Linked DNA regions of Tribolium castaneum. The protein of the gene in region 1 binds, or shares a complex with, the protein of each later gene. Links are inferred from orthologs where the notes say so. Each region holds a gene or a part of one and is shown in the gene's direction. Other genes may lie near its edges.

Region 1 (6,689 bases):
CGTTCTGTCGCGACCCCATATTCTACCGGTATCGTTCCATTTAAAAGTGTTTAATTATTTTATATTGAGTACCTTCTTTTAGCGGATTTTCTGTCTCTAGTAGTTTTCCACACCAGCCAGAGGCACACGGAACTGCCTCTACGCCTTTTTCCAAATCAATTTGTGTGACATTTACCGTGAACGGGTCTTTACAACTTCCTAGCTCTCCCCGAGATCGGCATACAAAACAGCGTTTGAGAATTCCTGCAAAGGTTCATTGATTCCTTCGGAAGAGCACAAACACAAAATTTGAATACGGCACTTACCATTTGTTAATTTTGGAGTAAAAATGAGAAAGATGAATGAAACACTAAGTAAAATTGATCTAAACAGACCCATTTTACGTCAAACTTGCAGAAGGAGACATTCCACTCTAAACTTTCTCTTGGCGATCGCGAATACCTTGAGAATTTATGTAGGTAGTCGCACAAGAAATAAAACGCATTGTTGGTTGCATAAATTTGTGTATTTAAGTTAATTTCAGGTATCGGTGTTTCCGGGCGTCCTCCTCTTTCAGTTCTTCGTAATTTTTATAAGTCCGTTTTTTACTACACACTATTACAAGCCCAGCACAATAGCAGGGCAGTGTAAGAGATAAAACTAATCCCAAATACATCATATGGCGAACAAAAGCTTAAATCATTGTTACATAAGGACTTATGACCACATTTTTTCAACAACCTTGAGTCAATATTCGTGCTTTCGATATCGTAAAAATAATTATCTGTTGCATCCTGATATCATCCACTTGACAAGTGTAATTGCCTTCCTCCGATTCTTTGACGCTGACTAAATACAAAGTGTTAAAAGTATCGACAATAATCCGGGGTTCGTCTTCTGGATTTGGGGGCGTGACGCTTTTTCCGGCTTCCAGAACTTTACCGTTCTTCTTCCAAACAACTTTATTTTCCAGAGTTGATCTTTAAGTGTAATAATTAAGCGGAAATTAATTGAGACGACTTACTCCGGGCACACTAAAGTTAAGTGCGAGCCTTCAGCCAGGACGAAAATTTTTCGATACTTGAACGCTGAAGTTTTGCCCGCTTTCCAACCCTTACTAAAACCCTCCGCATCTATTACTATTTTACCAAACCGTCCACTGTAAAATTTTTACCGGGGTTACAAGTCCCTTGGCAGGCCTCCGTTTGCACAAAATTCGGTATAATTCGGGTCAAGTTGCTAACACCGGGCAAAATCCTGCCCAAAATTTTCGAGCGACAGGCAATTTCGTTTGCGTTTTTGATAAAATGTAAGTCGGTGTTATTTTGCAATGAGGCACTGCCCTATCGATATAATTTGAGTTTAATTGTGGGGATGTGGCGTAAAAAACCTTTTGTGTTAATTTAATTCTGCAGTAACCGACTTTTTTCCTAATCCCTTCGTCTTTCGGGCGCCCACACACCTGGCAAATGCCCCACGGCCCCCAGATTGTGACCATTTCCATTTCAACGTGTAATTGCTCGCGGATGTGCCGGAATTCCACACCCTCCGAGTGGTTAAATAACATATTGATTGGCAGGAAATATTCATCGTGGTATTTGCGCCAAACTGTGATATTGCCCGTTTCCAGCGTCGTAACGTTATCGTGGAAAATGACTAAAATTGAAACTTTGGCGCGTCTGAGTTGTCAGGGACGCCAACACAACGCGCAAAAAAATATGAAATGTGTAGAGGTTATAGAGGCGGAATTTTTTTCTGTGTTTAAATTGAGTTTTCGGCAAAATTCTAACAGCGAATTTAAGTGAGTGTGAACTGTACAAAGTGTGCTTTCGCTGGCTTTCGTAAGTTTTAATTACTAGTAGCGACTACTCGCAAAAACGCGGATTTTTTGACTGAAGATTGGGGCGATAAAATTGTTTATATTTTACGTTTGGACTTACGATCGACCAAATAATTGTACTTGTCTTGCTGCTCTCCTTCGTATCGCTCACAGTAATACAGCCCCGTGTCATTTTCGGTAAAATTATGAATAATCAAGCTGTGCTCTTTGTTTACGTGGACTCTCGCCAATGTAGAATTATTGTTCATGTCCAAATCCACTTCGGAAGGTGCAGGGCTTCCAATATCCCCGATTTTGTACCAAATTTTTGGTCTCCCGTCGTCGTTTTCGCCGCTATATTTAAAAGCAACTTGTGAGAAACATTTTCGCAATTGGCCAAGCTCTCGTGAATTGTAATTAAATGAAAGCTTACTTTTATCGACTAATAACAAATTAGGCATTAGCATACCAATAATGGCACTGCAACGTTAACTTTTGATCAAGCGTTGCATCAATTAATGTGTAGAGGTCACCTTTTTCAGGTTCAATTAGTCGCTCCCTGTCCCTGCAATTTTTGTAAATATCGTCCAACGTACAACTTGTTTTTAAAATAGAAATTAGCAGGAAAATCCTTATCAGTGATAGTATCATTTTTGATAAATATGCATCGATTTCGTATTTCAATTGTTTCCAAGGCGGGCCATGATGTGACTTGCGCAATGTCTCATTTTTACGAATTCAAAAAAATCGTTAGGTCAATTTCACGACGTGAAAATAGGCTTGAGACAATTTCCAGCGTCCCGTTCGAACCCTAGAGAAGCTTTTCCCTGTGCATTTCACAAAAACGAGCCAAATTTGAAGCGTTGCTATTTTTAATTCGTGGCGGGCTGTTACCAGGACGCAATCTTTGATCAGATGATTGGAGAATAAACAAAATTAATTTCAAGTCCTGCATTATTAGCAAGCCTAATTCTTTCGGTGTGATAATTGTACTACTGTTCTGGTGGTGGCAGAAGGGCTTTGTCCCAATTTTGTGAAAGTTTGAGTGAAAATTGTGATTAGATCGCGTCTGGTGTTTAGGGCGCGTCAATGATGCCGCGTAAATCTCCCATAATTCCCTAACTTGACGTCAATATGGCGGACGAACTTGAAAGTAAGTAAAACGCGTCTAGTTTGATAAATTCCGGAGAAATTCGAGTGTTTTGGTTGTGAAAATTGCCCCAGAATTAATCTTTGGGCCTTTGTCGAGTAAGTCGCCCCCTTTATTACCCCCTGGTAGCGCAGTAAGACCCGCAAATAATGGAATGTTTTGGTGGGAACGATGTTTTAAATTTGAAAATATTGTTGTACCAAATTCAAAATTTGAATTTTCGTCCCAATATTGCTAAAGCGAAATGGGAATGCGTGGATCGTGACTACTAATAAAAACGAGTTTATGTAAGGGGCGATGTAGTCATTGTTGTTTTTATTTGAATCCAGGTGAATCAGATTCAGGGTTCAGAAACGGGCGCAGAATGACGAACGAGCAGGGGGTCACTGTCAAGCAGGAGGTGACGGACGAGGAGGACGAGTCCGGGATGGACGTCGACGATGATGTCCCCACGTTGGGGCCCGCGGCTCTGGGCCTGCAGAGAGTGGGTGCTCCAGCTGCACCTAAACCGCCACCCACTCAACCAACGCAAGTCCTAAACGCCCGTGGTATGCCTGCAAGGATCAGGAAGAAAAATAAACTGTTTTACGACGACGATATCGTCAACACGCCACATCACAGGGTACCTTCTGCGAAAAAAATGAAGCAAACGCCTGTGAAAAAACCCAAAGTTAACACTCCCACGAAAAGTTTCAAAGAAACGCCCAAGAGAAACACACCGAGGGACGTCAAGTCGCCTCGGAATATTTCACCACCGCCCCTTCAATCGCCCGATCGGAAAATCGGGCAGAAAATCGGACTCAGATTGAGAAATGTGCTCAAGTTGCCCAAGGCACACAAATGGGTCTGCTACGAGTGGTTTTACAGCGATATCGACCGGTGTTTGTTTTCGGGGGAAAATGATTTTAGTATCTGTCTAAAGGAGTCGTTTCCTGAGTTAAAAACACGAGAGCTGACGAGAGTACAATGGACCAAAATTCGAAGAATGATGGGGAAACCCCGACGTTGCTCTCAAGCTTTCTTTCACGAGGAGAGATTAGAATTGGAGAAAAAACGGAAAAAAATCAGAGCGTTACAACAGAGGAAAGCCACCGAACTTTCGAGTTTTAAAGACTTGCCACCTGAAATCCCCATGCAATTGGTTATCGGTACAAAAGTAACAGCCAGGCTTAGAAAGCCACAAGACGGATTATTCACCGGAAGCATTGACGCTGTGGACACCTCAAACAACACCTACAGAATAACATTCGAGCGCCAGGGATTAGGCACACATTCTGTGCCTGATTATGAAGTTTTATCAAACGAACCACCCGAAACCCTCTCGTTGTCCAGCTTCCAGAACAAGTTCAGACCCTGGAACGGGATCACAACATACGCGGCGAAAATCTCCCCTTACACAAACCTAAAATTCAAGAAAGATCCCTTACTGTCGGGTTCGATGATCAATAAGCCCATTTTCCCGCAGGAGGAGGGCCGGATAGGGGGATACCCGACCAAACTTTTGGAAAAAATGGTCTTAATCACGAAAATCCTCAGCGTCAAGAGGACGAAAATCAGCGAACTGAAGGGCATGAACGCCAAGGCGGAGAAATTTAATTCGTTTCATTCGGAGATTCCTGAAGAGTTTCAGCGGAATTACGCCTGCATTTTGATCGATCTTGAGAAGTTAAATCACGATTTGCAGCTGTATCTGGATGATGTTCAGGCGCTCTGCCAGGAAATCGCCCCTGAGCCGAGCGTGGCGGCGATGCTGGCGCCAAGCCATTTGAGGGAAAAGTGCCGAGAAGAGGCCGCTGAAATTGTACAAAGACAGAATTCGATCATTTCGGCCGACAAGGATCCAGTTAAGAATAAATCGATTCTGGAACTCATCACCGATCTCACGGCTTTGATGTTGCAAGTAAAAAGTTTGGCCGATTCGGATCAAAACGCATACGAATTGCAAGTGCTCCAAGGCACGATGGAACAAATCAAGAGGAAGTTGACGCCAAGTAATCAACTAGTGTTCCAGAACTCCGTCGAAATTCACATGAAACACATTCAAGTCGGTCTCGGGCAAAATTTAGATAAAAAACTCGCCATAAATGGAATTTCCAAACTATGATACTTTTTTTCTTTAAAAATGCAGGTTTTTAAAGCAGAATGCTGTGCAATACTATAATGGCCACAATTTCGATTTACACGTCTCGTTTTATCTTACTGTTTACCGCGGGTTTTATTTATAATTACTGTATTTTTGTGGGTATTTCACAGAATGTGTATATTTTACTTGTGTAATTAATAAAAATGTATATATGAGGCACCATATGTAATTTTAGAACTGTTCAAATTTTTATCAAAATTGGTTTGAAAAAAAAAACGTCTACTTAGAAAAATATTTTATTGAGCTAATCACCCCTAGCCTATTTTTTGTGTTTCTGCAAAGTTTTCAACAACTCATCGGCATCTTCCGGACTTTTCACCCGCAATAAAATCGGCACGGGTGGAGGTTGCGTGTCTGGATTTGGAATACAAACTAACATAACATCCTTTTTCCCCATCCTTTGCATTGGGATACTTTCCGACAAAATGAAATTACAAATTAATTTTCCTAAATTCGTATCAGCGCGCACGATGAGTTGGACTTTCTCGCCGTTTGGGACTGGCTTGAGGTACAGAGTGCCCACGCCATGGTCTCCAAAAGTGCCATCCTTCTTCACAAAAACCTTGCATCTGATTGAATAAATGTGTCCCTCTTCTACCACTGGCGTAAACTCAACTTTGGGCGGCTCGTCTTCGTCTTCTTGCTCTTGGGGCTTTGGCTCATCTGCTAGTTTTATGACAGTGCTTGTGAATGAAAATTTGCCGCTGTCAGAGCCTGAATTACCAAACGAAAACGGTTGCGATTTAAAGGAGCTGTCGCCTCCTGATAGGGTAGCTGTGCTAGTGCTTGAAGTGAAACTAACTGTTGTGGTACTGGAGCCAAATGAAAATCCTGTGGATGCGGTAGAAGTGGCCCCAAATGAAAATTTAGGAGTTGTGGTTGTAGAGGTTGTACCAAAGGAAAATTGGGGCGCAGTTGTGGCACTAGTTGATGTTTCTGACGCTGCCTCGCCTTTCGCCTTTTCAAGTTCGTTGATATATTTATCGTAATCTTTGAAAATTGGTTGTAAGTTGATAAACGGGTTTGATGACACGTGTTTTTTTATCCATTCAGTGACACTTTCATTTAATCCTTTTAATTTGGCATAATATTCGTCTAATTTCTTGTCGGAAGTCTCTGCTTCTTTTTCCGTAGTTCCGTTGGTTTTACTAGTCTCGGTTTTATTTAAGTTTGACAAAAATCCAAACGTGTTGGATGCACTACTTGGCGTTTTACCAAACCCAGAAAAACCACCGAATGCGCTGGGTTTGCTATCGTCACTCTAAAAATTAAAATTGTTCGTAATCAAACAACACACATTAGAAACCGTACTGACTTGGACTGATGATATGGGGTTCCTCCTGCGGGCAACTTTTATAACTCTGTTCTTCAAAGCTTCATCTGAAGCTTTTGTAAACGTTCCAGCCGTCTCTGGTTCGTCCTCCCTATCCCAATTATCGTGATTTAAATCACTTGTTGCCGTTCTTTTAGCCATAAATGGAGAAACGAATTTGCGAGGTTAAGATACCGACACACTTCCAAACAATTTCACAAAACATAGACTATCACAGAATTGGCTTATTTAATGATTTGCATGTCGTGAGACGGAAAAATTCGTT
Region 2 (6,797 bases), on another chromosome or scaffold:
TGCAGATTTCTGTAAATTTGGGGTACGTAGCACGGTCGTTAATAGAAACTACTTATGCCATCTTTTGGTAGTGTGATTTCAAATTAAATCGACGAATTTATCCAAAAATCCAAAATATTAAGCAACCTTTGGCGCGCAATGTCACACTACATTCAACGGTGTCAAAAAGTTTTTTCAATTTTAAATGTTTCAATTTCCAATTTGAATTATTCTGCTACGTGTTGTGTTCGTGGTTTTCTCTTTTTATTCTTATTTGAATTCGTTTGTTGGTGTTATCTACTCCTAAAGTAATCTCAAAAACATTTAAGTTTTGAACTTTCGAAGGCTAAAATTTGGTAAGTCGGGATTTTTTTGCCACCAAAAATACTATGTAATACATATCTCCAGCTCTGGTATGGACCTATTATACACTTAAAAGGCAACCTACAACGTTTATTAAACAACTTCTAGCTGGCTGGAACACATGATTCTGGAAACAGTGCATCTCTTTACTTGTGAAAGTTATCCAGAAACAAATCGACTTGGGCACCAAAAATAACTTCGAGAATTTAAACCAAATTTCATTTTTTGAGTGGACATCTATGATGGACACCGTTTAAGACTTCTACCTTGCACATAGTGTCTTTTATTTAATACACGCGTTCATTCATTCATTTGTATAAAAGCCACAAAAACGTATCTTGAACTCCCTCCTTTTTACCGTTAAGTTTCAAGACTGGTGAATCCACGAAAGTGGAGTCCTTACATTAAAATCAGAAAAACCTCTTACTCATAATAAGTTCATATAAGTAAATTTGTTGTAAAGTCATTTACGTGAGTCTACAACCAACACGAAAACATGCAAGAAATGTTTGCACATACTATTAAAAGCACTACTTTTCTGTGAAAATTGAATTGGGCACATGTCCAAAACTCCAATGGTACCTTATTAGAGTCCGTATTTACTTACTTAGTGCTTTAATTTTTTTCTAAGTTTCAAAATAATGTTAAATAACCGGTTTTGAGGGTGAGAAAGTTGCCAAATTAAATGTGGAAGCCAAACACGACATTTATTTCTTATAAACGTTAATTCATTAATAAATTATTTTCATTCATTGTATTTATTTTTTCTTTATATTTATAATACTAACAAAATTTTGCAATTAAACACATTTAACCGATTTTCAATAAAATCGGTTATGTGTGTTTAAATTGTAAAAAAATTATAATATTAAATTAATTGTATAAATAATAAAATATTTAAATTTGCCGCCAATTTTAGTTCCTCATACTACCAAGATATGGCGCTATTATCGAAATTTTGACGACCAGTGAATTACGTGTTACTTGATTTTCTATAACTACTATATTCTATGGCTTGCGCGCAGATCGCTAAAAAGATCGCTTCGAAAATATCGCGCCAAAAGTGTTGTTTTGTCACTCATCGTTCAACGTGTTACCGGAAGTATGTAGTAATTATTTGTTTAATCGTTTAATCAAAGCAAAAATTCTGATTACAGTTCGTTAGTGAGTCAATTCCTGGTGTTGAGCGCCGACGAAAAAGATAAGTATCTCTTCTTTTGTTAATATAACCTCATCTTTTTGATTGGTGTTTCTTTCTATTTTAAAGGCATTGGTCTCTGGGCTGGAGTGACGGATTTTTGATTTCTACTACTCAAGCGAACTTTAGTCATGGCTGGTTATCGCAAATATTCCTGCAAATACCCCGGATGCACCAGTGGTTATGTTCCCAACAAAGGACAGTCCAATAAGCATTTCTTCACCTTCCCTAAGAATCCAAAGCTTCAAGAATTGTGGAAGAATGCCTGCAAAATTGAGGATCCTGTAAGTTCAAAATTGTACCTCCTCGTGGTCGTAGCGTGGGCAACTGTTTGCTGACAGACAAGGTAAAAGTCATTGCAAAGCAGACCTTATTTTGTTTTAAGTCTCGAGCAGACAGGCAAAACATGCCAACACTGACTGATTTAATTTTTTGATAATTTTTGTATAATTAAGAAATAATACAATACTTTAATTTTTTGAAAAATTTAATTTGTTATGTTACTCAAGTGTACAATAAAAATGTTAACAAAATCTGTGTTTTATTACCCCAAAACAACTTTTTTTGTAAGTTTCATTGCAAATTTTGTTTAAAATAAATATAAAACGTTTTCACTTTGTTTAAAATGAAAATATATTTTTTTATTTTAAACAATTTGCAATGAAACTTGTAAGATAAAAATAATAAAAAACAATATAAAAGGAATTTATTCAAACGTGGCGCTTTACCGTGGTAGTAACGCACTTCAGGACCAGAGGCGCTGGATTCTCGTGTTGCCAGTGATTTACTAGGGAATTATCACTTCTTAACCCTTACTGTTCTGTGGTTTGAACGCTTCCCTGGTCACGTGACATGTCAAATTTGACTATGGTGTTTTGAATAGTTTTAATTTTTGTGAAAATTCGGTAAAATCGGGCGCAATTATGCCCTTCAGTGACAAAGGTAGTGTATTTGCGTTGGACACTGGCTTCCTTCTTAATTGTGGGTCGTTTCGTGGCCAAATTTTCCACGCCAGGAGCGCGATTTTAAAAAGCGTCCTTTTCACTTGAGGCTCCAAATTTGAATCAAACCTAGGGCCTTAGCGCGAATTTGCGAGCACCATGGACGCGTCCAGTCACACTTTAACTGGTATTGCGGTTTACACACGAGTCAATAATTTTTCAATTTGAACCAAAAGTGTGAAATTCCCGGGGTCAGAATTCAAAAATGCCTCGCTTGCAGGTAACAACGAAGACGTGGAGGCCCTCGTGGACACTCTCACCATCGATGGGGCCACTCTGACCGAGACAAACCTCACGAGTTTGTCTTCCACAGACATCCAGCAACTGGCGGAACTGTCCCAAGAGCTGCACCTTTCAAACGACATGGAGACCGACGGTAAGCCCGGCCTCTGCCCAAAATCGCCCTCAACTACAGGTTTCAGAACCAGAGGTGATAATCGAGACAGTTGAGGAGACCGGTCAAGTGGACGCTGACGTCATGCAGTCCGAAATAGGGGCCCAAGAGATTGAGATTGAAACCGAACGCGCCCCCTCCCCCGAGGAGATCCTCCCGGACGTCAAAATCAAAACCTCCACAATCCCCCCATTGCGCCCCCTGACCATAGCCCCCAAACCCGCCAAGGCGGTCCCCATCGCCATGAAGCCGGCCCCCGGCCAACAACTCCTCCTCCTCCAGGGGACTGGCGGCAACCAAGCCATCAAACTGGTCTCATCCGGGGGCCAAGAGCTGAACCTCGCCAACGTGTCTTTGGGGCGCCCCGTGGCCATCAAGCCCGCCGTCAAAACAGTCACCACCACCTTAGTCCAGCCCAAGCAAGTCGTCATGAAGAAAATCGTCACCTCCACGCAGAAAACGCCCCCGAAGACCACCCCCACGTTCACCAACAAGCAGGGGCATATTATGGTGGTGCAGAAAGCCGACCAAGTCAAGCTAATGCCGGGGCAAACCACGCTTCCGAGCCCCGCCAAGACTATAACCCTTCAGCAAGCGCAGGAGATGGGGCTCATTACCACCACCAAGGTGCTCCCGCAGGCCACTTCCACACCGAAGCGTACTATGGTTTTGAATAATCCTGGCACCAAGGCGATTAAAATTGTGCCCCAAGTGGCGCCAGGACAGTTGTTGGGGCAGAAAACGGTCGTGAGTCAGATTAAGTCGCCCACGAAGATACTTCCAGCTACGCAGGCGACTGGAGGGAAGGTGCCCCAAAGGATTATTTTCAAGAGTTCGGGGACGGGGCACACGATTTTGTCTTCGCCGCAAATTATACAAGTGGCAGGGACGCAGGCGCTGAGCACGGGACAGTTGCATCAGATTAATATTCCAGGGAAAGGGGTGAGTTTTTCAAGGTGGATCAGTTGATTATTTCGACCAGTTGGGGCCCAACTTAGTCGATAAATCATCAAATTGGTTCGAAAATCGCATTTTTGTATTTCTAAAGCGTTTAAGTAGGTTTTTTTGAGGAGTTTCGTAGTAAAGAAAAATCACTGAATCATGTGAAAAATTTTATTTTTGAATTTTTTACAACCAGGATACGAATAATTTCGGGGAATATCATCAGAAGTAAGCAAAAAAGCTCCGAATTATATGAACAATGATATTGTTTTTCTCCCTTTTCGAACGTCTAAAGACTTCTTGAGCTATCAAATGAGTAAATTAGATCAGAATTTACTTTTCTTTGCCATTTTGGGAGCATTTTAATCGGTTTTACTGACAGAACCGCAATTCTTTCTAGGACTTTCGTTACAAATAACCCAAAAAGCCACTATAAGGTGGGTAAAAAATTCCATCGTTTTTTTTTTGAGGACTTTAGAAAGACCGTATCGCGAGATTTTGGTTAAACTGGAACAAAAAATTCCTAAAGTCAAAACGCGAACGCGTTTTTGTGCTTTTTGTGAGCGTTTTATACTCTTTCCAGCCAGGAACCTAATTGTAACTTTTTAGAGGAGTTTTATCAGAAATAAACTAAAAAAAAACGATAATATTGTTGCCCCTTTTAAGCGTTAAACACAAAATTTTTAACTAAATTTTGTTAGATTGGACCAAAAAATCGCCAAGTTAGTTCTCTGATGGCATTAACTTGACTTTACGAGCATTTTATTGCGATTTATTAGCAAAAAATATAATTATTTTAAGGAAGTGATTAAAAAAAGTGCACCAAAATTCACCAAATTGACCAAACTAGTTCGGAAAAGATGCAATCTTTACCTTTTGGGAACGTTTCTCATGTTTTTTTTAATGAAAAGAATTTTTTCGCGCGATTTTTCGATCAAAAAAGCAAATTAAGAAAGCCAGACTGCTATTTAGAATTTTTTTTTAATAAGAGCGATGTCATTAACTCATTAAGGAGGAGAATACCACGCTATAAAGCACCGAATTTCAGCCATTTTTCTCAGTGTTTTTTTAAATAGAAGGTCTTTAAAAAAAATTACTGTGCATCAATAATAAGTGTTAAAGAAAAATTAAAATACTGTAGTGGACTCTTAAGAATACAATTGCTTTTGTTTTAACTTTTACTTTGAAGACTGCAAACTAAGCTGTAAAATTACTAATTATACCAAAAATAATGTTATTTTTGGTCATTTTCAAATGTTTAAGCAGTTTTTAAATTAAAAATTCTATATTTTTTTCGAAAGAGATTTCGGTAAACTGGTAAATTATGTAAAAGATTACGGAACCTAGATAAAAGTAAACCGAGAAATTGCTAAATTCTATGAAAAATGATTATATTTGGACCATTTTTGGTTCTTTTTGAGCTGAAAACTCAAGTTATTCGCGAGGTTTTGTTAAAATGGATCAAAAAATATCACTAATTATGTGAAAAAGTATAAAATTTTTATCTTTTCAAGAAATATTAGTGACTTTTACGGCCAAAAACGTAAATTTTTCGTAAAATATTAACCTAAAAACAATAAATAATGTCAAAAACGGTGTAATTATCATTTATTTAAAATTGAAAAATGTTTTAAAGTATGTTAAAAATTGTGCCATTTTTGCATTTTTTGAGCGTTCAAGCACCTTTTACCAATATTTTTTTTTGGGTGTTTGTACCCGTAATAGGTACATCTTAATCTCAAATAATGACTTTATTTCTGCCTTTTTTTTGGTGCTTGCAGTACATTTTGCAGCTAGTAATATACTTATTTCAAAAATTTTCGTCGAAAGAACCGTCCAAAAATAATTTAGTTGGAAAATGGTATCACCTGTTAAAAACTCAGTTTTCGAATTATTTCATTTAAACGACCCAAAAAAATAAATTTTGAATAAAATGATATATTTGTTTTTTTCGTGTATTTTCCAAAATAAGCCCGGAACTTGGTCGAAAAACGCCGTTGTGTTTCAATTTACTGAATTAATTTTCTCCTTTTCAGATGCAATACATTAAGTTTGTGACGGCCACCAATGCCGAGACCACGCCCTTTTCCTCGGGAGCCTCCACCCTCACGACCGTAAAATCGTCAATGCAAGCGTCCCCAACCAACATTGTCTTGTCGGAACTCAAACCGGCGTCCCAAGGCGCAACTATCGCCCCCAAACCGTTGAAAAACATTGCTGCAAAAGCCCCCGTCAGCAGCAGTCAAGTGGTGATGTTGCCAACGTACGTCCAAGCCAAAGTGCCGATCCCCATGCGCCACACCTCCGCCACCAAACAAATATCCGCAGAGAGTATCACAATGACACCCGAGTCCAATCTCGAGTCCAACGGCATAAGACCCCGAAAACCGTGCAACTGTACCAAAAGCCAGTGTTTGAAATTGTACTGCGATTGTTTCGCAAACGGCGAATTCTGCTACATGTGCAACTGCATGAACTGCTTCAACAACTTGGAAAATGAGGATCACAGACAGAGGGCGATCAAGACATGTCTCGAACGCAACCCTAATGCTTTTAGGCCGAAGATCGGCAAAGCGAAAGACGTGGCCGGGGACAGTTCGATCAGGAAACACACAAAGGGGTGCAATTGCAAGCGGTCGGGCTGTTTGAAGAATTACTGCGAGTGTTACGAGGCCAAAATCGCCTGTTCGAATAACTGCAAATGCATGGGGTGCAGAAATATCGAGGATTCGATGGAGAAGAAGAGTCTGAGGGCCTCGATTGAAGACGGGTTGCATAATTTGCAAGGGAAGATGGCACAGACCAGGGATCCGCTCCAGTTCAGGACAAGGAGGACGTCAAACAGCCGACAAGCGATTAATTTCATAACGGATGACGTTATCGAAGCGACCTCGCAGTGCATGTTGACCATCTCCGAAAG
Region 3 (5,607 bases), on another chromosome or scaffold:
TGTCAAGGAGGATTGCGACAAAACAGTTGATTTTTTGTGTGATGACTATTTTAAATGTTGTTGAGAGGGTTTAACTAGTTACACAATAAAGTAATAGATAAAGTGAGCGTATAATTATTTATTGGTGATTATTAATTGACGGTTTCGACAAAGTTCATTATGGTCATGGTGCAGAAGATTTTCCTCTTGGTGGCAATCCGCCTCATGACCATCTGGACCCTGAACCGTCCCGGCCAGAAGGGCGTGTCATGATAAGTGATAAAGGGGTGCCTTATCATGGAATAATTCCCGGCCGGTATGGGGCACTTGTCTGGATTTTTCCACCCTAGGGCTTTCCCAGTCCTGATCATACTCTCCCGCCCATATCTCATCCCGATACTGTTACACGGATCTTTCTGCCACGTCAAGGACGGTAGCATTTTCCAGTCTCCTTCAGTGTACTTTTCCACGAAAATTGCACCTTCTGCCGTTTCGTCCAAAGGCTTTGCGAATGTAAAATCAATGGAGATGGCACGATGGGTGCGATTGAAACGATCGATTCGGAAAAGTCTGATAGGGACTTCGAGTTTGTCGTTATCAGGGCATAAATAACCCGTTTCCAAGTCTGCTTTAAATTTACTCGTGAGCTGGAATAAAAAATTTAGGTGTTTTTGTAATTGGGTGATTGGGCTTACGAAATTGCCGTTTGTGGTTTTTGGGGTGAAAAAAATTAAGCAGAGGATGGGTCGCAAAAGTTGGAAGGACATTTCGTAGTTCGTGCCAGTTTTGACAAAAACACAATTAATTTATAGGTTTGCAATTATATGCTCATGCCAGAGGTTATTATTATACGCAACAAAACGGATGAGAGATTGGAGATAAAAATGAATTTTTGACAAACAACCAATGAAAGATTTTAAACACAACATATGATTTACTATAACAATGATTTTGTTGTATCATAAAAAAATAAAATTTATTTTTGCTAACAGTCATTCTTGACCATTTTACTGAAAATTTTTCCGAATGGATTTTTGAAACTGGCTGTATTTACAGTTGTTTGACTACTTTTTAAGTAATTTGTAAAATACAGGTAAGGGTTTTTTTGTGGATACTAGATGAGTTGCTTCTAATTGAATCTACAGTTATTATAAGAATTTATAGGACAATTAAAAATGGTGGATGCGCCGGGAAAATGTTACATATTGCAATTATGAATAGAACAATCATAATTTTGAGACAATTAAGTGTTAGAAATAATTTTTTTAAAAGTCTTGTCAATGATTGTTTAAGTCAAATTAAATAAAAAAAATTCAAAAAAAATATTTTTTTTTCAAAAAATTTTGTGGATTAATTGATATCTAACACTCTTTTAGGACAAAATATGCAAAAACAATCATTTTGTGACGTATATTTGACTCATGTAATGATTTTTTCGTCCAATTTCAGTCTACAAATAACACGCAATGTTTCTCGAAAACTTGTTACTACTTTCATTTATTGGAAACACCGTCAGCGTCAGTTTTGTAACACTTTTCCACCTATTTTTTTCTTCAAATTATAACATTTACATTTTAGTTAGTAAACAGATTCACTGCGGACCTTGAATCCGCTTACTTATGCCCTGATAATGATAAACTTGAAATCCCCATGAAACTTATCCGCATTGATCGGCTTAACCGCACCCATCGGGCCATTACCATGGAATTTTCCTTCGCCCATGCGGTGGATGACACCTCTGAAGGGACTTATTTTATCGAAAGATTTGTCGATGGCGGCTGGAAGTCGTTTCCAGGTGTTCCTTTCCAGAAAGATGTTTGTAAAACTTTGATGAAGTATAGCAAAGATTCAATGGTTAGGTTGGGCAAAGTTATGGGGATGGAACGGCCTGGTACATGTCCCATCCCTGCGGGGAATTACTCGGTAAAAAGATGGCCCTTTGAGCTGCATTTTGAGACGCCTTTCTGGCCGGGGAGGTACAGGTTTCAGACGGTTTGGAGGCGCATTGCCACCAAACAGAAGATTTTTTGCTCCATGAGTGTCATTAATTTTGTTGAGATTGTCGAATAAAAATAAAATTGTTGACTATTATTCACTCAATAAAAAAGTAATTGAAGGAATTACAAGTAAATAAGGAAAATGAGAACACATAATTATTTATTTTGAGCGTTTGAAATAAAACAAAATTATTTGTTATTTAAAAATTTATTCAAAACAATACAACTGTGTTAAAACGAAATAAATATAAAAACCGTTACACATACGCAGATCTGGCTTTTACAACTCTATTAAACGATTTATAATAAAAAACTCGGTACTTTTGACTTAAAAATGACAAGCTGGCAAACATAACAACTAAAAAAGTTGTTTCGGTGGGTGATTCAGTCACAAAAAACAATTCTTTTTTTTCCTATTTTCAAAGTAAAGTGGAGCACTATTGTAATATTATTATTTTACACAACAAATCGAAAAACTTCCACACTCTTCTGGCTTTTTTTTTGGTTACACAACAGTAACATTTGAGGCGGTTCTGTTGGTGCTCACATAGTGACGCTTGCCTTAACCTCATTATTGACTGTTACAATTCAAAATAACAAAATGACCAAAAAACGCAAGTTTTCGTCAAATTTGGGCTCAATTAAGGTGGAAGTGAAGGAGGAGAACGTCCTGGGCAATGACTACTTGATGGCCAAGGGCCGCCTCAAAGGCGTCCTCAAGCAACTAACTGAGAAAAGTGACTCCGACAGCGACTCGTCCGATGAACGGAGTTCCAAATAGTAATTTAAACTTTTTTTTGGCCAATTTTTCACTAATTTTTGTAGCGAAAATCGCAAACGTAAAGGCGACTCTGTCCTAACCCCCTACCGCCACACCTACGTTATGAAATTATTCGACAGAAGCGTAGATTTGGCCCGGTTTGAGGAGGACACTCCCTTGTACCCCATTTGCAGGGCTTGGATGCAGAACCAGCCCCGAAATCCGCAATCAATCGTTAAGTGAGTTTGCAATCATTGTTGCCAACTCAATTTTAAACCAAATTATTTAGGCGCCGATTATCGTCACCTGAACCTAATGAATTTAACTGGAATACGAGCATGATCACAGACTTGCACAGGTTGCCGCCCCCTATAGGTCCCGTGGTCAGTAGAATCCCATCACCTTTGCCTGAACAAACGGAACAAAACAAGGATAATATAAATTTGAATTATGTAAGATGGTACAATTTATTACTAAAAATTGATCGTTTCATCACAGGAGGAATGTCCACCTGTTCCCAAAGATATCTTGATCAGGAATCACCTGCAAAGGTGGGTCAAGGTCAAGAAGAAGTGGATTGACACTGCGGTTAAAAACGAGGAACGGTATCATTTGAGCACGCAAATGCTCCAAACTATTTACAATAAGTACGAAAACACGTACAATTTCGTCTAGTTTAATTTTCTGTTTTTCAGGGCACAAGAAGCAATGGAATAGTTTTTAACACTTGGAATTTTATTGTATTGTGTGTTGTAATGAAAGTAGTGATTTTGTCAACGCATTTAATAAACCATTTTACAACAAAATGCAGTTTTAATATACACCCCGAGAAATTCTCTTGCCAACCTGACCATTCAAACCCAAACGAGCGAAATGTTTATCCACATATTATGAATGTATTTATTAGCCTAGAGACTCTCAGGCCCCTTTTTTATCTTTAAAATATTTTGAATGTTTTTTTTTGACAATTTGAGCACTGACATTGTTGACAGCTGTCAGTCGTCCTAACCTAACTTCTACAATTTTTACCTGTTTTTAAGCCCAAACAATTTAGAAAAATTATGTGAAAGTGTAATTATCGTAAAAATGGCCACCTCGACCGAAATCGAGACCTACATTATTGACGACGACGACGAGCCCGAAGCCCCGGAGCTCGACGAGGAAGAGAACCGTTTTTACACCATAAACTCTACCCTAGACAAGCAAATCGCCCAGGACATGGAAGCCATCCGCAACTACATCTCGGAAGCCCCCCGGTTCGACCCCCTCAAGAAACGAATCGAGTTTTTCAACAGCATGGACACGTCATATATCGACCGTTGTGTGGACAAGACCGTGGACCCCATCCTGTGCCAACACACGGGTCTGGGGACCCTCAAGTGGCACACCTGCAACCAGTGCGACTTCAAGACCGAAACCAAGGAGCAGTTGCGCCAGCACGTCATCATCAAACACACCCAACTGGGCAAGTTAAACTGGTATGTGTGCCAGCACTGCGAGTTCGTGTGCCCCCAGGAGGCCGATATGGCGAAACACACGAAGGGAGCACACGAGAACAAGTGCACAGAGTGCGGGGAGGTGTTCATCACGGAGCCCCATCTGCTGAGGCACAGGGCACACAAACACGGCTTGAAGATATTTGATTGTAAAAAGTGCGAGTTTGTGACCAAAACATCCGAAGAATTTACGAGGCATACGTTAACACATGCCAAACTCAACTTCAGTTGGTACAAATGTGAAAGGTGCGAGTATCGAACGGTCAAAAAGTCCAATTTGGACAGACACATCAGCCACAAACATTCGTTTTTTTAGTTTAGGGATTTATAAATAACCGGATTTATTCGTATTTTTTACCTCAAATCAAATAAAACACTCAAGTCGCATGTGCTGTGTTTCATTTCACGCGCGTGATTGGCCGAAGCCGGTCACGTGGCGACGCCAACCAATCACAATCCGCTTGTCAGTTTTTTAACGTAACCTAAAAAAGTATAAAATCTAGTTGTTTCCTTTTGTGTTTCGATTAATTCTCGAGCCCTTGGTGATTATTTTACATTCGCGATCGTGCGCGGAGTGGTTTTCGGTGATCGTATTTATTATGAAGATGTTTTTTTCAAAGTGCCCGAGTACAAGAAACCTGCGGTGGCGATCAGGTAAAATCTCCCCTTTGACTTCTCGTTTCCTTTTTTCAAATTCATATTTTGGGACTTATTGTGGGATTGTAGCACTGGCAGAAAAACAAGTGCGTGCACATTTGCACATAAAATATTTATTTGCATTATACAGATCTATCTACACGTTATAAGAATAATTATATTACAATAATCTCAACTATACAAAATTTCCAAGCAAATAAGTGCCTCAAACTATTGCAAAGCCTTGCCGTAAAAAACGCATGCATATTTCGTGGACCTATCAATGGAATGATGCAACAATTAAAAACCAACAAATAATACTTTTGCATAATTGGATAAAGACATTAGAAAGAATTGATACAAATTTTAAGTGTCACGTGACCCCATCACTGTTCCTTCTTATTGGTAGCTTGGCTGTAACTTGGGGGATTTTCCTAAAACAAAATAGTGTTTTTTTTTCTAACTGCGATTGGTCTCCCTGTCTTACGTAATAAGCCGGCGGCGGCACGAACGCCATCTGTGGCCGATTGGGATCATAGTAGGCCGATTGTGCGGCCTCGGCTGCCTTCGCATCTTAAATAAAACAAAATTTCGTAAAACAATATTTATTTGGCAGTTAGCGTCCTTGATAATTACCTGCAGGTGAGGCAAATCCGGCTGCGCCCCCTTGCGGCGGATACCCACCTTGGGGTGGGTAACCCCCTTGCGGGGGCGGATACCCTCCCGGTTGGTAGGCGGG
Region 4 (5,284 bases), about 720 kb from region 1:
TCAAATGTAAATTTATTTTGTCCTAAAACCAATTCAAGCCTATTGGGAATTTTTCACAAGCCAGAAAACCGTCCTAATTTTCCGTTTCTTGATCAAAAACAAGCGAAATCGAACAAACAAAACCAAACTAATATAATTTTCGACCTTCATTTGTCTTTTATTGGCCTGTTCTAGCGAATTTATCCAAAGAAAGTGAATTTTTGCCTCAAGACGGACTAAAATACTAAAATAAAAAGGTGAAAATAACGTAAATTTATATTAATAGTGATTTTTCGGCGCGTTTGATTAAAATTACTCCCTAAAAGTGAGTTTTTTAGCTTAACTAATTATCAAGGTGACTTTATTTTTAAGGAAAATTTGGCAAATTGTTTTACTTTTTCACACATAAAACGAGTTAATCTTAGGGAAAGAGATAAAATTGAATCAAAATAACATCACTTTCCCGCACGGAAGGAAATTCGTCAAAAATGAGTGAGTTTTTTATTCAAAATATTTTTCAATGTAGAGGAGGGTGGAGTAAAATGATCCATCTAAGAGAAGGATTATGATGTGCTAAATTTTTAGACCTTTGGTAAAAGATTATAATCTTCTAAATCGGAACCATGATCGCACTACTAGTTTTCTTGCTTTTTGGAGGGGTCATTTTACCCCAGTTTCCCCTAATTAGGTGATTTTTCATGGTTAAACAAAATTTAGCTTTGATGTTGAATTCACGAGCCGCCACTGAATCGGCACTTTTTAATAGTGGTCCATTGAATTAATTTTGAATTTTAACCTTGATTTTAGGCCGGAACCGCAAAACGTAAAATTACTCAAGCGGTTAGGGAATTTTATTTATTTGGAATTTCGGGTTTTACTACTTAAAATTCAGGTGTTGCGGTTTTCTTAATATTAGCAATGCTAATTTTTTAAGAAGATATCGATCACTTTGTAGTGTCAACGTTCGCTAAATAATAATTCTAATTCTGGACTGTACTATTAAATGATTTATTTTTAACGTAGCCACTTTTTCCGTGTATTTTCTTCCTTATTTTACTCTTTACAAACAAAGACATAATCGCGTGCGGCCGTTTCATGTTTGACCTATCGAAGTTTTATCACAAACGCGACAAATTAATGTTTACTTGACTAGCATTTACCTATCAAGCAGGTCAACGGACTAAATAAAGAAAAAACTATTACAACAGATGTAATACAAGAAAAAATTGCGTCAAGTGATATCACGAATGTTTTTCTTCGGATGTCGGTGTGTTAACAACCTGACGTAGTTCAGATAATGCACACTTTGTGACGTTATACGAGGCGATAAGTTAGTCTTTTAATCACTTAGTGGTGGTCGCCTATTAATAACAATTGTAAATATTTTTAATTAATGAATGACACAAGTGGAACACCGCCAGATTACTTAATTCGTAACATATGCTGACAACGTAACTTTAAAAATAACACACCCTTTGAATCAAATGGGACCATCCATCAACTGATGTAATTATTTACCTAAGTACCCAATTACTCACTTGATCTAAATATACACAATTCATAAAAGACTAACATAAATATTGACAGTGTTTAAACAAGATTAGCTCGCAATTTCCAGACTTACCTGTAACGATTTGTTCCTCCTGGGGTTTATCCTCGTTTCTTTTGAAAATAAAATCACCGAGGGCCCTGGAAAGGGCCAAGTTCCCGTTAACCCTGTTGTAATCAACAAACCCTCCCGCCGCTACGATCCTGTCGTACTCCTCCTTGTTGTTCGGCTTGTGGTCGTTCGAAAGCGGCTCCGCCTTGCCCCCAATGCTCGCCACAGCTCTAGAGTCCCCCACGTTGGCGCAGTACAACGTGCCATTTTTGATAATAATAGTGACGGCTGTGGAGCCCGACTGCTCGTTTCTCAACGACTCATCCTCCAGCATGACCCGGTCGATCTCCAAGAAGGCCTGCTTCAGCCCCTCCTCGATCTGGCCGTTCTTGTACTCCTCCCGGTTCGTGATAAACTTGTGCAGGTGCTTGCCCGCGTACTCCGAGATCTTGGAGCCCCCATGCCCGTCGTAGACCGCGAAAAACGCGGCCTCGGGGTCGTCCGGCAGGGACAAGATGTGCGTATGGGAGTCCTCCATGTTGATGCGCCAGCCCTGCATCGAACTTGAGCCCACTTGGAAATTGGCGTTTTGGCAGCATGCTGTGTTCTTGGCAGTCACCGGTTCGGACAAAGTTTGACCCATAGTACCCCTGAAAGGGCGATAAGTCCGCAAAAAGCGCAAAAACACGAGGCAAGCGGGAAAAAACCGTCGCTACTTACTCAAAATTGAACTCTGCTCTTTGGATGGGTTTTATTTAGCATACTTGTGCTAAATCGAATCGCATATTTTGCGTACGCTAATTAACACCGCTTTTTGCTGTTGTGTGTCACGAGATATGGAACGCAATATTTAGGTTAATCGGGAGAGAACTCTTCGAAAAAAGAGAAACTTGACGTTTGAATGTCGAGCTGGGACGCGGCCGGCTGAGTGCGTCATCGCCTGTGCACAAGGCCGAAAACTTTTTTATGTCCTAAACAATAAAAATGTGCGGCACGTTCTTCAAATAAAAACTATTGACAATAAATTCGTTGTTACTTATTACTAATTAAATTACGATTTGATTTTACAATCTTGGCGAGGGAAGCGCCAACATTGCGACACTTAATACACCAGCCAAATTTAAAAACCAAACTTTTACGAAATTGGGGGCAAGTGAATCGGGGTTGACACCCAATTAGGGTCATTTGCGACTTTTGCTCGTTCTGTATAGTGTTTCTTTGCCGCTTTCAAAGTCCCCCTAAAAGCGCAGCCTTTTGATTACGTTTGCTGCAGTTGGCACAATTGCAAGATGGCGTCCGAGAAACCCGGGAGCATTGAACAAGGTAAAGCATTTTTAATAAAAAATCACCCTGTAAATGTTACTTTTGGCTCAATTTAATTATTAAACGATTGTTGAGGCCTTGCATGGACAGTTTACGCGAAATTGTCGGCTAGCGTGCGTGGACAAGTTCGCATTTTAAACAGAGTGGCTTATGTCAATCTGTCAAAATATAATTGATTTGTTGCATTTCCTAGAGCAAGATCAATCTTTGAGCGATCTAGAGCAGACCTTAATGAGTATGGAAAATCTGGATAGAGCCTCTCCAGAAATTTGGCCAGAGAAGTGTAAGTAGCGTTGCACATGTTTGTGGGATTAGGGCAATAATAGGGTTTCAGATCCAGGAATGACAGATTTTGTAAACAGTTTCACGCCACCAAGTGCCGTAAAACTGCCTTACTCGAAGGAATTGAGTCAGGATGACCAGAATTATCTGCACCGTAAGTTTGGATTAGTTTTTGTGTGATTGTAGAGAAGAGTGTGGTTTTTGTAGAATTAGCAGCTCTTCCAACAGCTGGACTGATTTCTAAAGTCAAGGAGTTGCATGATATTGCATATCAGTTGGGTGTTGAGGAATCGAAAGAAGTCACAAGGGGGAAATACTTAAATGTTTTTAAGCCCAGGCAGAAGCAGAAATGATTTGCAATTTGTTACCTAAGTAGAGGTTCCAAATAACGTGGAAGTTATAAAAAGAGCAGGGGAAATATATTTGTACATAGGATTATAAGTTTAAGTTTAAAGAAGTGATTGTACGTTAATTTCCTGGAGAAAATCATTTTTGTAATGTATTATTAAGCAAGTGCTTCAAAAGGATTTATGTATTATATTGCACTGCTGAAGTTTCGTTTGTATAATAAAAATCGAAAATAAATTTGGTTTTGTAAAAGGTGTCTTCATTTTCTACAATTAAAATTTTGTTCCCCGTTAGCTCACCAAAACAATAATGAGGTGATGCATTATTATTATTATTATTATTATTATTATTACTGAACCCAGCAGCTTCCTAGATTAAAAATATCCGGTGGAATGTAAATTGATAATTATTTTTGCAGGAGATTAAGCTCTCTAATAGGGCCTTCAACTGTAAAAAATCATGTTCGGACAAACATTCCTTAGGACCTTAACATTTTTTTAATTTTTATAAAATTTCTCGATTTTGCAAATTGCGTTAAAAAACTCGTATTTAAGGATTGCTCTAATTAGTCAAATTAATAACTCATTTGTCCAGCAAGAACCAGAAGAAGGTTTAGAACATTCTTGCCAGGAAAAAAGGAATTAAGGATGAGGTAAACAATGATTATTAGAAAATAAAGGAATTATTTATGAAAAAAAAACAACACATAAATCAAATATTTTTTACTTGGCGTTAAATAAGATGCACCTACCTTCATATGGTTTCTGCGTTGGCTACTGTTTGTAGTTTGAAAATGTAAAAATTTTTACTTTTATGAATTTTGTGTCCGTTTCTGCTCTTTTAGAGCGTTATTAATTATTATTGAGTAGGTTTAAGGGTAGACAAATCTTCCTTGAGTCAACGACATAAACTTTAGTGTGATTTATTGAAATGTCTATTGGGCAAAAATAAACTTTTCGTGTCAAACATTTACATTAAAAAGGGTGTTTGATCGTTTATAAAGGGCGTGTACAAGCACAAGTACAACAACTTTTCTGTAAAAGCATTTTGCAAAATTTTTATTCATTATTTTCACTATTTTCCTTCTTTCCGGTAATAACTGATTCACTCTTCGGGGACTATTTTGAATATTGTAATAAATTTTCAAAGTTTGCGAAGAAAATGTTTTTTCGCGTAGAATGGCTGCAACCAACAATCCACTCTTGAAGAAAAACGCTTTAATTTTAATTAAAAACCAAAAGTCACTACTTATTTTCATTGAATTACATTGAACACTTATAAAAATTGTTAGTTCCCTTCATGTTGTTGAAAAAAAATATTTTGACTGCTGTTTGATGTGAATTATGTCCTCGCTTCGTTTTAAAAACGGCCTGAACTTTTGTAACTTTACTCTGGCTTGAATCAATGCTTTAGCTTCAATAATGCCGTTTCCATATTTTATATCCTGACCTTGTAATGGGCCTACAAAATCTCAATCAGATTCAATAGCTTCGTCCTTTTACAAACTCTCATTTCCTGCATTATATCCAAAAAAAAAACTGTCCAATACGCTTAAAAATTTCACAAAGAAAGTCGAAGTAAAGATATAAAATAGTGTCGTAACATCAATTACTAAATTTGTTTACCGTAATAATGTCAATAAAATGTTACACTGATCATTACAACATTATTTATTTAATGGAATTGCTACAACCATCTAGGTCCATTTCGCATAAATATAAAACCTACGCTCGGACCCAATTATCTCAAAAC
Region 5 (6,778 bases), on another chromosome or scaffold:
AGTGAACAAAAACAAGTAATAACAAATTTAAATACAATCAGTGAGATAATTATAGATTAAACCTAATGGAAAAACATCTGCCTGGAGTGGATTGTTTAGGAACTAGGTATTATTGCATTTTTTGATGATCGAACACTACAATAAGTTTGCTAATAAAGATATCTAAATACAAATATTTTACTTCATCTACAACAATTATTACAAATTTATCTGCCTAAAATTTATTATAAACGATAGGAAAAGAATTGTTGAATTTGCCCGGCGCATCCACCATTTTTACCTAATTTTATGGTGGTTCAGTAATTTATTTTGTAAACATTTCGTAGCTAATTATGATTATTTTCTCATAATACAGTTCAAATGCTGAAGAAGACACGGTTCACTCGTGGTACGACTTAATTCAAAACCTCACGGTTCCTCACTTGGACGTGATGCAAAATGAGTTTCAAAACAAAAACGACGATAAAACCCTCACAAAAGAAGAGTTTTTTAACACTGTTAACGCCATTTTCGCCAATACGGAGTATTCGCAAGCGAGCATTGCATTATACGAGCAAATCGCAAAAAATGGGGAACCACAAATTACTTGGAGTAAATTTGTGGAATTTTTTTTACAAAATTTAATGCCTGCGGATCACCAAACTATCAATTTCCAAGTATCGAGCATTATTGCCATTCCTCAGACTAAGGTACTGATATTATTATTTTTTCTTGGTGTACCTAACAACTATATTACAGAGAGAAACGATAATTAAAATTGTGCGAATAGAAACCGAAAAATATTTTTGCTACGCTATGATATCCAAACACGGCAGAGTCGGTTTATATGATGGCAATCTTAATTTTTTAACAACATATCAGTTGATAATGACCCGAGAGGATATTCATCGGAAGGAAGAAGACCGAAGACGGAGGAACCGGTGGGTCACTGACGCAATTTTTTGCGCTGATGTTTTAATGTTTATTGCCACTAATACGGCACGGAGTGTGGTAATTTATGAAGCTTCCGGACTTAAACACGTGCCACTGTATCTTGTTTTGAGTACACCTAACATTGTTCAAGTATGTATTTTCCTACAGTAGTTACGGTCTAATTGAAACTATTTTAGTGCTTTGCTTACAAAAGCAGCATTTGTGACGAAAATGGCCAAAGTACGCTTTTTATGGGAGATGACAAAGGCACGGTTTTTTCTTTTACATTTTTGCAGCCCAAAGCAGCACTTTTGAGGAAAAAACACAACGACAGAATTAATTTATTCTACTGGGATGTACGTCCGATTTTTTGTCACTGTACAAACAGATTAGATAATTTTGCAGGAGTTACCAGATGAAAGTGATTACGTTGTTGTTAAACGTAACGGGCGTCTACATCAAGAGAGTGTCAAATGGCTTGTATATTTTAATGATAATGAAACTCTTATTTCTTGCAGCAAAGACTCAAATGTGTCAATATTAATACATTATATCGGAAATAAAAACAAGCCGTACATTTTCAAGATACAAAAAGTAAGTAACACAGTCACTGTTACGAAAGTTGTCATATTTATTTATTAAACCGCTAGGGTTGTAACTGTTTTGCATTAAGCAGAATACGTAAGATACTAGCCACAGGAAGCGAAAATTCTGTTCTGAGATTGTGGAACCCTATTATTACCTCAAAACCAATCGCAATTTTGAAAGGACATCAAGCACCGATTATGGACGTTAAAATATTGGATAAACTAAATTTACTTATTAGTTGTTCAGCTGATGCAGTATATTTTTCTATTTTGCATTTAATTCTATTTACTAATTTTTGTATAATTGTTGTAGATGTTTAAATTATGGGATTTGGAAAAACAAAAGTGCATTCAAAGTTTTTCTATCAGTTTCCCGTCTTTTAAAGTGTTTGGAAAATTAATTGAATGGGGAATTGAATGCATTTATCCCGGCCCTAAACGCACTTCCTTTAATGAGATTGAGATCGAACTTTTTGAAAGATCACCACTGTTAATCACTTGTTGCAATCACATCGCTGTTATTAAAATAGTAAATCAGAGCAACGAAATACAGAAAATTGTTGAATCGCAAGTTTTGCCTCCACCTCCTCTACAAAATAGTGTTTTGATTCCAAAAATGTGGAGAACGTCTGATAGTCCCGAAACAATAAATAAGTATGATTTTTTTTCTAAACCTCGTTTTTTATTAAATTGTTAACGCTATTACAGAGAAGAACAGTTTGAAGAAGCAATTGATGACAAATTTCTCAAAGAAAAAATAAAAGAGTTGGAATTTATTCTAAAAAAAGACCTGTTTGCAAATGATGGCTCAAGTAAGAGCGATATCAATTTCAAAATTGCGACATTAGAGCGAAAAAAAGTGCAGGCATGTATAGCAATGAATTGATTTTATTTATGTCAACAAATAATATTTAGATGCGAGAAAACGTTGCACGCGGTGCTCCCTATTTAGCCCTGGAGCTACCCGAAGTGAGCGACCTATACCTAACACCAAACTTGCCCGTCCCTGACAAAAAGAAAACGAAAAATATTGTGGAAAAAATCGAGAAAGTTTTACAAGACGCCAGTTACAAGGACTTGGTATTTTCGGAACCCTCCTCCAGCCGCTCGCCACGGTCCTCACGAAGCAGTGTTATTGAATTTGACTAGTATCACTGTAATAAAAATTTTTGTAATAAAAATTAAAATTCATCTTGCGCGCGTCCCCAAGCCAGCAGGTGAAGCTTCCACTAATGCGAAACTTCCCTAAACGGTGTTTGTGTTTGGCGCTAAGAATTGGCGGGAAAGCCCATTTCTCTCCCCTTTTCGTGCCCACAGCAGCTGTATTGGCACATAGTGTCCTAATTAATTAAAGTGTGGCTAAAAACTTGCAAAGTGCTTCGATTATAAAGTTACTGGTAACTTTCCAAATTTGGGTTTGAGGTTACCCTCCATGCGCAGTCAAAAGTAGTTCTGGCTGATCGACAAAAAACTGTGTACGTATTCGCGCGTAAACGCCGAAATATTTTGGATTTTAGCGGCATTTCCTCGTCGAAAATAATGTGCAAAGCGGGAAAGTCGGGGTTTGAGCGTGATTGTGTTGTTTTTTAGTCGTCTCTTGTGTGGATTCCCGCCTTTTGTAGGCGTTGTCAAGAGCTCAATGGTGGCTAGTGGTGCGAAATTGTTTAGCAGCGGTTTGTAATTGTTGGAAATCATGGTGTTATCAAGCGAAACCGAAGAATTGGAGGAGAAACACTCAGAACTGTGCAACAAACTGCACCTGAGCCAACAGATTTCCAGAGACGCTTGGGAGCGATTTGAGACAATTAACAAGAATTTCACTCTGGAGGTGAGTCTCAACCCCTTAAATCACTGCAAACTATCGGGATTTTCAGGGGGAGCCCCTCCACTGGATAGGGTGTGCAATATACGTGTCGTGTTGGAAGTCCATCGCTGCAACGGCTGCACAAAATAGTGTTCACACGAATTGTGTTAACTTGACCAATCTTCTGCGTCATTGTAACTTAAGGTCAGCCAACAACAAACAGTCTTTGGGTTATTTTTAACGCATGGTTACAGCATAGCACAGTTCTTTTACAAAATCAAACAATGGTCGGACATGGCCAGCATGCCTGAGGAGTTCAAAAAGCGGATTGAGTATCTGGAAGGGAGCTTCTCTGTGGCTTACAACGTTTTTAAAGAATACCAGCCTCTCTTTATGCAAATATTTAAGGCACCTAAAGCTCCAGAAGCGCACGAACTGGACACAAGTAAACACAGAAACCGGAAAAATAAGTAAGAAGTCTCTCTAAACCAATTTATTTCAACTACGAAATTGTATATTTTAGACCTGTGCCTTCGTCCCCACTCAAAGTCTTCGAGTTTTGTTGGACCTTGTTTATCACAATAAAAAGTGAAGACACGAATTATAACAACGACTTGGTCACGTCGTGTCATTTACTTATTGCCATTTGCGACTGGGCGTTCAAACATGCGCTCCAAGCCGACCGCAAGGATCTCCTAAACCCCGACTTTGCGGGCCTGCCTGAAGACTTCGCCCAGCCCAGCTATGTGCCCCCTTCGGAGGCCCCTTGCATCGTCAGCTTACTGTGCCCCAGTCCGAACATAATCACCGACCTGAAGTACGTAAAAGAGTACCAGTTCAAAAAATCGATTCGGAATTATCTCGACCAAGGCGTCTTGATTGAGAACGACCAAGGCGATGTCTTGGACACCTCGGTGTTTGACCATAATTACAAAAGCATTGGGAACGTGTACGAGAAAAATATCCTGAATAAGAGCGATTTTGACGAGCGCATTTTCCTGGGTGAGTGATTTTACAGCTAGTCCAATCATATGGCGAGCCAGCTGCGCAAACAGCTGACTGTCTTACCTGAACAGATGCTCCTGACCTTGCCCTAACACCTGTTTCATTCCAGCTGAGTACAAAAGAAAACTTCTAGTGAGAGACCAGAGTGTGGCGCAAAATGCAGGTAATTTGAATCGAGAAATCTATGATCAAACAATTGAATTTTGCAATTTCAGCTGACAACGCAAGTCCGGAGTTATCGACCAAAGAAATGGTATTTTATTTTTGTGTGTGGTATTTTTTTTACGTTTGTTAATAGGTTGTTAGTAAAGAGTGTTTGACGCCGCTCACTGGCCGCAAATATTTGGGCCCGAAGGAGTCGCAAGAGTCGACTCCGCTTGTGACAGCTACTGAAAGCATTTCAAGGCTTAATAACTTGCTTCATGGGCGCCAGCCGGCCCCCAGTGAGGCTTTAGTGCAATTGTTTGAGTAATTATGACGCCCAGAGTGGTTGAACGTGTCTATGATGATGTTTTAAGGTCTTGTGCTCGCAATCCAACTGAGAGAATCAATCAAATTGTTACAAATTTGGGGGAGAGGTTTCTGGAAGGCCACCCAGTTGACCAAAGAGAAGTAGCACAAAGGCGACTGCAGCTCGCGACAACTTTGTTTTATAAATTTATTGAAAGTATTCTGCAGAATGAGCGCTCAATACATGCTGATTTATCGGTATGTTTTTTAATTATTATTTGTTCTGTAGTATTTTTATTGTTTTTTTAGGCCATTGTGGAAAAAGACGTATTTTACGAATGTATGTTTGCTTGTTGTTTAGAAATTGTTATTTATTCATACAATAGTCGGCAAAGGTTCCCCTGGATATTGAAAGCACTGCAAATACAACCATATAATTTTGTTAAAGTGATTGAACTTATCATTCGCTCAAGAGATAAGCTTTCAAGGGACACTATCAAACACCTTAATATGGTAAGAACATTACAGTCGGGATGTTTTTTTGATTTGAGATTTCGTGAAACTGTGCAAAAAATCATAAAATTTTCTCAAAAATAGACCAAAATATGTTTCAATATACTCTCCACCTCTAAATAAAATTAGTTCGTCAAATTAAAAAAAAGCGGAAATTATGAAATTAGTTCAAAAATAGTGTAATTTTTCGCCATTTAAACACGTGTTTGCGCTAGAAACTAAATTTGTTCGTGAAATTACGCTGAACTGGGGCAGAAAAAAAACTAGCAGTGACATTTATTTCCTATTTAAGAGGGTTTTAACACGGTTTGCATATGTAAGGACACAATTATTTTAAAGAATTTTGGCGCAAGTTTAAAGAAATTAAATTATTGTGCTCGAAAACGGTGTTATTGTCTGGTTTTTTTTGAACTAAAAAATTAAATTACGTTAAATGGTTTAAGTATATTTTCTAGTTAGCAAATTTTTAATTTAAGACGAAATCTTTAAATTGAAGCGGTAAGTACGTGTTTGAGCTAAAAACTCATTTTCTTCGCTAAATTTCGCTAATCTCTGCCAGAAAAATCGTCAAAGTCGGTTGAGAATGTCATTTATTTTGCTTTTTTTAAGGGTTTAAACGTGTTTTTCATCAAGAAACGCAATTATTTTAATCTTTTTCGAGAAATAAAACACATTTTTGAGCTCAATAGTCAGGTTTTTCGCGACGTTTTGATAAACTGGACTGAAAAATCATTAAGAAATTAGGTCAAATTGATTTTTCTACACTATCTTGTAGACAGGTTTTATAAAAATCCTCTTCTTTTAATCAATTTTTGAAAGTTTTCAAGGGCCATATAATAAGAAATGCATAACTGTATTTTATTTGAATATTTAATTGTCGAATTTACGAGTAAATATTTTGTTTTAAAGCTTCAGATATCTTCTACATATAAAGCAAACAGTGAAGAAGGATTATGATTTATTTCAATCACTGATAATTTATTATAATTAGTCAGCAGTTTCTGTTTCTCATTCTGTTCTCCACCTTTACTCTGTTTTGTATGAAACTGTCGTTTTTAGATCGAGGAAACTATACTTTCCTCGCTGGTCTGGAAATCAGACAGTTTAATTTGGGAAGCAATAACATCTTCCGATAGGGAAGTACCGAAATTCGAAGAGACGGCTTTGCCAGGGCATATGCAAAATGAACCAAGTTCTGAAAACTTAACCTTGAGAAGTATTCTCAATTCTGAACCAAGTATTTTTGCTATTTTTTATGTTATACGATTGTTACAAAAATAATTGTAGGACAAATTGTATCGCCTGGCCCTTCTGCAACAGACCGGTTTCAGTCACCAGTAGCACACAGCAGTGCTGTGAATAGAGAATTGTTTCCTACAGTTCAGTCAGGTCAATCTCTACTCCAAACGACTCATTTGAGTAAGTTTTAATCAACTAAATTAACGCATTTATCAAAATTTGCGTTTTTTAGTGATTAAAGATCGTACTGGGAATACTCGCATGATTC

The links.
Region 2: mip130 (region 1) and protein lin-54 homolog share a complex: the UniProt entries of both Homo sapiens proteins name them as parts of the DREAM complex. The link is inferred for Tribolium castaneum from reciprocal best matches to the Homo sapiens genes LIN9 and LIN54.
Region 3: the proteins of mip130 (region 1) and mip40 are in contact, whole or in part, in a crystal structure (PDB 7N40), measured with the Homo sapiens proteins. The link is inferred for Tribolium castaneum from reciprocal best matches to the Homo sapiens genes LIN9 and LIN37. Residues at the interface, in NP_001353174.1 of Homo sapiens: Lys99, Ala101, Ser102, Gln103, Lys104, Ile105, Gly106, Arg108, Leu109, Arg110, Leu112, Leu113, Lys114, His119, Trp121, Cys122, Ile123, Glu125, Trp126, Phe127, Thr227, Leu237, Phe238, Leu272, Ser273, Asn274; in NP_061977.1 of Homo sapiens: Tyr95, Ile97, Leu99, Phe100, Asp101, Arg102, Val104, Leu106, Ala107, Phe109, Ser110, Glu111, Asn112, Thr113, Pro114, Leu115, Tyr116, Ile118, Cys119, Arg120, Trp122, Met123, Asn125.
Region 4: the proteins of mip130 (region 1) and lin-52 are in contact, whole or in part, in a crystal structure (PDB 6C48), measured with the Homo sapiens proteins. The link is inferred for Tribolium castaneum from reciprocal best matches to the Homo sapiens genes LIN9 and LIN52. Residues at the interface, in NP_001353174.1 of Homo sapiens: Leu335, Gly336, Phe338, Phe342, Leu343, Ile344, Val346, Thr347, Leu349, Ser350, Lys351, Leu353, Met354, Lys356, Lys357, Ile360, Leu363, Arg364, Asn367, Thr368, Ala370, Glu371, Lys374, Ile382, Phe384, Gln385, Tyr388, Ala389, Val392, Leu395; in NP_001019845.2 of Homo sapiens: Asp61, Met64, Leu65, Leu68, Gly69, Leu71, Thr72, Thr73, Leu76, Met77, Val80, Leu83, Gln84, Leu86, Ala87, Leu90, Asp93, Glu94, Glu97, Met98, Arg100, Gly101, Leu104, Asn105, Ile106, Leu107, Glu108, Pro110.
Region 5: mip130 (region 1) and retinoblastoma-like protein 1 share a complex: the UniProt entries of both Homo sapiens proteins name them as parts of the DREAM complex. The link is inferred for Tribolium castaneum from reciprocal best matches to the Homo sapiens genes LIN9 and RBL1.

The regions. Positions count from the first base shown.
Region 1 is NC_087402.1:5,410,580-5,417,268, forward strand, and holds mip130 (protein lin-9 homolog), read left to right. Parts: upstream 1-2,750; 5' UTR 2,751-2,932; coding exon 2,933-2,951; exon of another isoform or gene 2,952-3,046; intron 3,047-3,088; exon of another isoform or gene 3,089-3,235; intron 3,236-3,277; coding exon 3,278-5,052; 3' UTR 5,053-5,250; downstream 5,251-6,689. Other genes in the region: rtv (uncharacterized protein LOC103312675 precursor), read right to left, coding at 1-22, 73-243, 306-378; uncharacterized protein LOC103312737, read right to left, coding at 509-672, 721-959, 1,004-1,112, 1,154-1,322, 1,370-1,635, 1,920-2,152, 2,268-2,449; nuclear pore complex protein Nup50, read right to left, coding at 5,351-6,352, 6,407-6,565. UniProt on the Homo sapiens protein: Acts as a tumor suppressor. Inhibits DNA synthesis. Its ability to inhibit oncogenic transformation is mediated through its association with RB1. Plays a role in the expression of genes required for the G1/S transition.
Region 2 is NC_087399.1:5,897,746-5,904,542, forward strand, and holds the start of protein lin-54 homolog, read left to right. Parts: upstream 1-2,333; 5' UTR 2,334-2,463; coding exon 2,464-2,482; intron 2,483-2,761; coding exon 2,762-2,917; intron 2,918-2,963; coding exon 2,964-3,877; intron 3,878-5,913; coding exon 5,914-6,797. UniProt on the Homo sapiens protein: Component of the DREAM complex, a multiprotein complex that can both act as a transcription activator or repressor depending on the context. In G0 phase, the complex binds to more than 800 promoters and is required for repression of E2F target genes.
Region 3 is NC_087399.1:3,373,908-3,379,514, reverse strand, and holds mip40 (protein lin-37 homolog), read left to right. Parts: upstream 1-2,504; 5' UTR 2,505-2,577; coding exon 2,578-2,756; intron 2,757-2,801; coding exon 2,802-2,975; intron 2,976-3,025; coding exon 3,026-3,188; intron 3,189-3,234; coding exon 3,235-3,383; intron 3,384-3,431; coding exon 3,432-3,453; 3' UTR 3,454-3,542; downstream 3,543-5,607. Other genes in the region: uncharacterized protein LOC103314014, read left to right, coding at 1-74; uncharacterized protein LOC107398505, read right to left, coding at 132-626, 675-746; RE1-silencing transcription factor B, read left to right, coding at 3,823-4,548; Wbp2 (WW domain-binding protein 2), read right to left, coding at 5,255-5,302, 5,356-5,441, 5,505-5,607.
Region 4 is NC_087402.1:6,134,854-6,140,137, reverse strand, and holds lin-52 (protein lin-52 homolog), read left to right. Parts: upstream 1-2,754; 5' UTR 2,755-2,868; coding exon 2,869-2,902; intron 2,903-3,095; coding exon 3,096-3,185; intron 3,186-3,236; coding exon 3,237-3,338; intron 3,339-3,391; coding exon 3,392-3,537; 3' UTR 3,538-3,784; downstream 3,785-5,284. Other genes in the region: probable protein phosphatase 2C T23F11.1, read right to left, coding at 1,604-2,222.
Region 5 is NC_087396.1:19,755,025-19,761,802, forward strand, and holds the start of retinoblastoma-like protein 1, read left to right. Parts: upstream 1-2,774; 5' UTR 2,775-3,192; coding exon 3,193-3,327; intron 3,328-3,373; coding exon 3,374-3,507; intron 3,508-3,557; coding exon 3,558-3,773; intron 3,774-3,826; coding exon 3,827-4,305; intron 4,306-4,417; coding exon 4,418-4,471; intron 4,472-4,523; coding exon 4,524-4,561; intron 4,562-4,606; coding exon 4,607-4,776; intron 4,777-4,826; coding exon 4,827-5,016; intron 5,017-5,067; coding exon 5,068-5,271; intron 5,272-6,330; coding exon 6,331-6,508; intron 6,509-6,558; coding exon 6,559-6,690; intron 6,691-6,742; coding exon 6,743-6,778. Other genes in the region: WD repeat-containing protein 64, read left to right, coding at 66-106, 356-689, 739-1,062, 1,110-1,268, 1,318-1,506, 1,563-1,754, 1,813-2,153, 2,208-2,364 and 1 more. UniProt on the Homo sapiens protein: Key regulator of entry into cell division. Directly involved in heterochromatin formation by maintaining overall chromatin structure and, in particular, that of constitutive heterochromatin by stabilizing histone methylation.